2 linked regions of the Oryzias latipes genome follow. The protein of the gene in region 1 interacts with the protein of each later gene in a biochemical or structural test. Links are inferred from orthologs where the notes say so. Each region holds a gene or a part of one and is shown on either strand. Other genes may lie near its edges.

Region 1 (4,359 bases):
CCACTCAGAGTTGATTGACCTAACTCCGATCAGCTTCCCTGAAACAGAAAACTCAGAGTTGTTAATCTCCCGATTGACCAACTCAGAGTTCAAGTTCAACCTCAGAGTTGGTCGAACCTCCTTTCTGAAACAGGCCCAAGGCCTTCAATCAACAGGCTACAGCAAGCAACTATTTCGTTTAAAAATGATTTAGGAATAAACTGATCAATTCTGTTTTGTTTTTTAACCATGGAGAATGACAAGCCGGTTGGGGTAAGTTTAACTCTTCAGCACCTGCACTATTTTGGATTTGCATTAACTATAGCTTGGACATTCACATTGGCTGCTTAGTTTATATGTGTTTATATGCAGGCTCTAATAAAACTCAACGGGATCGGTTTTGTTTATAGCTACATGGATGTTTCGGTCCACATTACATCTCTTTTGACCTGTAAAACAAAAAACAAAAAAACAAACAAAAAAAAACGTGATGTCACTTCTGCTGACGGCTCGCGGCGCCTCGTGCCTCCTGTCGGTCACATCATGTACCGCCTGAGCGGCGCTTAAAGCAACTTTTATTTCAGATAGAAAGTAATACCTTTAGAAAAGTCCCCAAAATTAAAGACATGCAGTTCAAAATTATTATAATTAAATTATAAACAATTACTGCACATCGGCAGAGACATTGAGGAGTAGATTTGGCTTTGAGGTACATCCGTGTGATTTCTGTCATACAGTCCAAGATACAACCAGACACCTGTTTTTTTTTATCCAAAGATTCTGGCAAGATTATCATAATTGGCCTAGTCAAAAAAATTAACAACATACAATTCACAGAAAAAGATATTTTGTTTTATAACAGTTAGCGAACATCCTCCTGATTTTGGGAAAATATCATATTCATAAGAAAAAGTGGAAAAAAGATCGGCCGAATTTCCTGTGTTTTAAAAATGAAGTCAGATTGTATTTATCCTCATTGAAATGTATTCACAATTCAAGTCTTTTCATTGTTGACATTTGTAAATCTGCTACAGAATGGTTACAGATCTAGGGTCCAGATTGTTGATTGCCTTATGCAGAAAGTTTTTTATATATTTTTTATATATGTATAAATTCTTGTTTTTTTTTTTTTAATCTTTGTTTTTGTGAAGAGATGTGCCTTGCATCATTGTGTGGTTGTGTCTGTGAGAGTCTTGTAATGATTATATTTAAATTTAAAAAAAGAAAATAAAAAAAAGAATACCTTCACACACAAAATTACTGGTTTGAATAAATATAATAATAATAATTGATCATAGGTGGAATCGTATCACTAACACAATACACTATGAAAAAAACACCATTAACCTAAATCTTATTATACCTGAAGGAAAGAAAAGACAAAATACATTTTAAAAGAGAATAAAACACACGAGATTGGAAATCAAATCATGTCTTTTTTGATTTAAAAAAAACACCTGTCAAGTACAATAATAATAATATGATAATAAATCTCCTTGAGTGAATCTTTGCAATAGTTTTGTGCGACAGTTTTAATGACTTATTGGTGGGTCTAAAGATAAAAACAGAAATCTGTAAGTTTCCTAAAATGTAGATATATTTTTTTGTTTAATATATAATGCGCAAGATGGATCGTACATCTTAGTGAACCAGCGGGGGTTGGGGTTGAGCTTGGACGCAGCCTGCGTTTCACGTGGGCGTGGCTTTGACAGCAATGTTTTGCTAGTGAAAACTTTAAGCCTTTATTTTTGCTCCAATTCAGTGATATACATATGTACTTTGACGTGGTGTTGAATCGATTGGGTGGGTTGTGTATGGAAACGTTTTGTGCTTTCCGGTAACCTTTCTTTCGGTGCTAAAGTTGCTTGTTTCTACCATATGAGTGGCCGAAGCTAACTTGCTAGCTAGGTTAGCTCTGACCATAGCTTTAAACGAATCATTGGTCTATTTTCTCCGCCATTAAAAACACGCAGCCTCTGAGTTAAGGATTAAGTAATTGACCTTTTTCGCTATCTAAAAGAATGATGCGAGCAGACGATGCCCCTGCATATAGATGAGAACTGACCCGGTTGGATGAGTTGGTGAAAATCTGAAAATGTCCTGCAAATCCACGAAAGTGGCCCCGAGTGTTGATTTTGACCACAGCTGCTCCGATAGCGTCGAGTATCTGACGCTTAACTTCGGCCCGTTTGAGACTGTCCATCGATGGAGAAGACTTCCACCATGTGATGAATTTGTTGGTGCAAGGTAAACCTCTCCTAAGAGGAAACTAGCCTTCAAATTGTACATATTTTTCATTGTAATTACCTCTGAGTCTTGTGTGTTTTTTATACAGGCGCAGCAAACACACAGTTGTGGCATACAGAGATGCCATCTACGTGTTTGGAGGAGATAATGGGTGAGTTCCACTCCTCAGTAAGTCAGGAGTTTTGCCCCCCTCAGACTGTAATATTGTTGTGTGCCACCCATCAGGAAGAACATGCTTAATGATTTGCTCCGGTTTGATGTGAAGGACTGCTCCTGGTGCCGGTAAGGCAGCTTAAAACAAATCCAAAAACAGAGTGGAAAATATGGTTTAACATCTTCCAATGACTTGTGTCTCAGAGCTTTCACTACAGGAACCCCGCCAGCACCCAGATATCACCACTCTGCAGTGGTATATGGCAGCAGCATGTTTGTCTTTGGTATGTTTATTGTGTTTCTAGTTAGATATATTGACATCACTTGATTTAATCCACTTAATTTGACCTCCAACACTATTTTTTTAGGTGGCTACACTGGAGATATCTACTCCAATTCAAACCTGAAAAATAAAAATGACCTTTTCGAATACAAGTTTGCCACAGGACAGTGGACCGAATGGAAAGTGGACGGAAGGTAACACATTTATTCGTGACAGTAGTAAATTTATTCAATTTTCTTACTACAAAGTCACTGAATTGTCATTCTTTGAGAAACATGTTTGTTTGTTTTAGCTTGCCAGTGGCCAGGTCTGCACATGGAGCCACAGTCTACAGTGATAAATTGTGGATATTTGCAGGGTATGATGGTAATGCCAGGTATGTTTTATTATTATTATTTTTCCAAATCTTTTTTTCTTGCACGTGCAAACACATTTGTTTGCTTTTTAGCAACAAAAACAACAAAAAAACCCTGACACTTTTTTTACATTTATCAATTTTGTGTAGACTAAACGACATGTGGACCATCAGTCTGCAGGATCGCGATCATGCCTGCTGGGAAGAGGCAAGTTACATTTTTTCCCCTTGTTTATTTGAAAGAGAAAGTAATTTTAAATGAATTCTTCAGTCATTTTTGTTTTTTCCTTTTGACCATTAGATTGATCAAAGTGGCGAGATCCCGCCTTCATGCTGTAACTTCCCTGTGGCTGTATGCAGGAACAAGATGTTTGTGTTTTCGGGTCAGAGCGGAGCCAAAATCACTAACAACCTCTTTCAGTTTGAGTTCAAGGGCCACATGTGAGCTCCAACAGGTCAGTTATTTCCGTTTTATTTTCACACAAAGCAGCTCATCAGTCTGTCCTTTCAGGTGGACACGCATCCCCACCGAACATTTACTGCGAGGCTCCCCTCCACCTCCTCAGAGGCGCTACGGACACACTATGGTCGCCTTTGATCGCCACTTGTACGTCTTTGGAGGTGCTGCTGACAACACTCTACCCAACGAGCTGCACTGCTATGATGTCGACTCGCAGACCTGGGAGGTCATCCAAGCCAGCCTCGACAGTGAGGTACACGTTCTATGCTGAAATATGTTGGGGGGGGGGGATAACGTGTGTTTTGAAAATTTTGTGATATTTCCTTTTAACATGTAAAATAGTCATCAAATCTGTCTTTTTGAATTTGGTTAATATTGTGACAGTCAGCCTATAGGAACTTTATTGTCTCTATTTTTTTAATTCATACAGTCCTCAAGCTGTCTGGGTACTTTACACTCTCCACTGAAATTGATGCTCTTTCTGTTCTTTCCTTCTTGACTATGCACATTTGTTTAATAACCCCCCCCCCTACAAAATCTGATCTGTTCTTCTGTCTCACCCCCCCTCAGATGCCCAGTGGAAGGCTCTTTCATGCTGCTGCTGTCATTCAGGATGCCATGTACATCTTTGGAGGAACTGTGGACAACAATGTTCGCAGTGGGGAGATGTACAGATTCCAGGTTTGTCTGAATGACCGATCAATATACTTGGCTCCAAATGTCTTTGGTGATCTTATGAACTTCCCGTATCTCACAGTTCTCAAGTTACCCAAAGTGCACTCTCCATGAAGATTATGGTAAACTGTGGGAGAACCGTCAGTTTTGTGATGTGGAGTTCATTCTGGGCGAGGTGGGTTTTACCTGTTGGATGATACACTGCAT
Region 2 (2,962 bases), on another chromosome or scaffold:
GACACAATGCATGCAGGAAGAAAAATGTCCTCTGATGTAGGCATAAAAAATAAAAAAAGATTCTACCCACACAGTACAAAGCAATGACAAATTTATTAATAGCTAACATAATAGCTAAGGTGTTAAACACTTGGAAAAGAGTAGGAGTTTGCATGCATAATTATCAGTGACAAAACTAAGTCCTATTTAAAGGCGAGGGGATGGACATGGTGGCAGAATGTTTTGGACCTCATCCTGTGGGGCGATGACCCTTTTTCAGTTTTGTCTAGGGTTCATTCTTTGGCATCCTCTGCTTGAAAAGAGCTGCAGCTTTTCCAGCAAAGGGGAGTTAATGCTGATAACAGTGTTGTCAGGTGTGATGGATGACATCAGTTCCATGATTAGGTAAAAAAATCAAAAATAAAAAAATACACCGTCACCTCAAAGAAATCAAGCTCAAACTGTTGGGCTAACCCATCTCAGCAACTGGCACTAAACTGAGAGCTTACTGGTTTTCCAGAAAAAAAGAACAGGAAAATTTAGGTCGGGTTTAGTATTTAATGAAATGGAGGCTAATAATTTAGTGTAATGTACAAAAATGTATTACTTAAACTGCTTATTATTAAGTTGTTTTTTCTGTTTTGAAAAGGGGCATTTATTCACATGAGTATACACTTTGTCTTGGACTTCTTTTTCTTCTTTTTGCCCTCCTTGCTCATCTTCTCCTTATGCTTCCGGATTTCTCTGACTAATGTATAAAAGGCATCATCCACGCCCTGGGAAATAAGGCAAAAAAAAAAAAAAACAAGCAAATAAATGTACAAAGTTAGAGTTGGAAAGTTACAGGTCATTTAAAAATGCACATTTAACCAAGACATTAAGGATCTGAAATGATGTTTTAACCAGTTGCACAAATTCAAGTGGCTAAAACATGGTAGATTAGTCTAAGCAATGACATATCTTTCATCTTAGAATAAAGTAAACAGACAATTTTATTTTTTTTTAAACAGAAAAAATACTTTCAAACCATTTTTTTTCAGTGCTACCGCTTTTTTTTTTTTTTTTTAAGTGGGAATTTCTTCAGACTGGAGACATTAGACGAGCCTTTTATTCTCGCGCTGGGGTGAAGAAAAGGCTTTGTGCTATAATACAGCTCGTGCCTGTTGATGCCACACTGACGCAATTGTCTGAGAGCTCCAACAGTTTGTGTAGTTCAAGAAATGCGACAATAATCTGCAAAAAGCTGTTGAGTAAAGAGCCTTGGGACACTTTATGTTGTGAAGACAACCAGAGAATGCAGAACAGACATGGAGAGATTCGTATAGGCAAAACACACACAGCCTTTGTGGTCAGAATTTTTGCTGTTTTTTTGCTTTTTTATTTTTTTTAAAGACATGAATATTTCAGCATGATTTAGTCCCACATTCACCATTAAATTTTTTTTTTTTTTTAAAAGAACCTACAGCCGCCCAAGATGGCTTAGCAACCCAAAACCATGTACACAAGTTTCTTTCAGCACAGAAGGATATTTTCACACTGGTAGTTTTCCCTGAATCTGGTAAAAACGTGACCAAACACTTGATTGGATCGATTCCTTTTTTAGGCCAGGAGTCCTTTAGGAGGTCGTTTTACTGCTGAAACAAGGACTGACAAATGCTCCTCCATGGGGAAGGGATAAGGCAAAAGAAACCCATGAAAAAGAGTTCAGACATCCATGCAGAAGCACACCAGCTGCGCAAATCAAACTTCCCCAAACTTGATGGATGAACCCAGTGTGAAAATGACCTTAGACAATAATCCACCACAACACATGGAGACTGAAAATAGAAGAAATCAAAACACGTCAGGCTCGTGTTAGAACCTCACCACAGTCCCAATAAAAGCCAGCAGGTTAGCTTTGACACCACATGAAGCACCAGCTTTGGCTCAGTGTCTTCCTCCATCCCTCGTCCGCCGTTCCCCCCAACAACACACAGAGCTGATGGGTGCGCGGCTGCGTACACTTACCCCTCTCACATCACAACACACTTTTTAAGGTTGACACAGCGTGGAGTCTTTTCTTCCTTGCTGAGCTTACTGAGCCGGTACTGCCTGATCTCCCGTACCAGAGTGTAAAAGGCATCTTCCACTCTCTGCGGTATAAGACACAACTCTCCTCAATGGCGAGGAATGTAGGAGCACATTCTTCATGGTGTCAGAAATTTTAAGATAAACATGGGGATACTCCTGAAATGCCGGATTTGTCTTCTCTCCAAACTCTTAAAAACTCAAAGAGTTTGATTGGATGAAAACTGAGCAGCAGCTTCTGCAGGCTTGGAAATGAGTCTAGTTTCCTCCCCATAAAACGTAAAAAAATGAAATATATAAAACCTAATTAACTAACTATTTTCTATTCCTGGAGCTTTTGCAGAGGAGACTGCAGAGCTGTTCTTAAGCAAAATAATGACTGAAGTAAAAGGGACTATGGAAATTGGATTTCTTCTTGTATTCCAAAACTGTTGAAAAGTATGGACATTTGTCCTGAGAACTCAAATAAATCAACACAATTTATTTAAACAATAATACTAAATAAATAACAGCAATGCAGGGCTGATGCTCCTCTCAGCAATAACCGTGTAGCTCTGTTCATATCGGTTGATTTAGAGGCAAAAAAATATGGGGAAAAAAAAATCCACAGCTCTGTGGGATTTGCCTTTTCACACAAAAGTAGAAGTATGCTGTCAAAAATAAATCAAACGATTGATATGAAGGGCCTTATAGTTTTAGAGATACCATAAAGAACTGACATGAACTCACAACAAAGACAACTTTATTCTATTGCTTAGCACTCCGAAAAACAGCTATTTTTCATCCTATTGAGTAACACTACACAGATCATGTCTTAAAGTGGATCAACAGACTGATATGGGAATGATGATGCAGTGTAACAGACAGCAGTTGGTTGATAAAGCAGTAAAATAAACACAGTTATTGTGTTTAGGCT

Evidence for each region.
Region 2: the proteins of lztr1 (region 1) and kras form a complex in vitro, tested with the Homo sapiens proteins (2 studies listed by BioGRID, with this or other methods). The link is inferred for Oryzias latipes from reciprocal best matches to the Homo sapiens genes LZTR1 and KRAS.

What each region holds. Positions count from the first base shown.
Region 1 is NC_019867.2:13,323,667-13,328,025, forward strand, and holds the start of lztr1 (leucine-zipper-like transcriptional regulator 1), read left to right. Parts: upstream 1-1,326; 5' UTR 1,327-2,074; coding exon 2,075-2,226; intron 2,227-2,314; coding exon 2,315-2,377; intron 2,378-2,451; coding exon 2,452-2,508; intron 2,509-2,583; coding exon 2,584-2,663; intron 2,664-2,747; coding exon 2,748-2,856; intron 2,857-2,954; coding exon 2,955-3,038; intron 3,039-3,167; coding exon 3,168-3,225; intron 3,226-3,318; coding exon 3,319-3,458; intron 3,459-3,528; coding exon 3,529-3,730; intron 3,731-4,047; coding exon 4,048-4,158; intron 4,159-4,234; coding exon 4,235-4,327; intron 4,328-4,359. UniProt on the Homo sapiens protein: Substrate-specific adapter of a BCR (BTB-CUL3-RBX1) E3 ubiquitin-protein ligase complex that mediates ubiquitination of Ras (K-Ras/KRAS, N-Ras/NRAS and H-Ras/HRAS).
Region 2 is NC_019864.2:21,729,442-21,732,403, reverse strand, and holds the end of kras (GTPase KRas), read right to left. Parts: intron 2,112-2,962; coding exon 1,992-2,111; 3' UTR 1,987-1,991; intron 756-1,986; downstream 1-755. UniProt on the Homo sapiens protein: Ras proteins bind GDP/GTP and possess intrinsic GTPase activity. Plays an important role in the regulation of cell proliferation.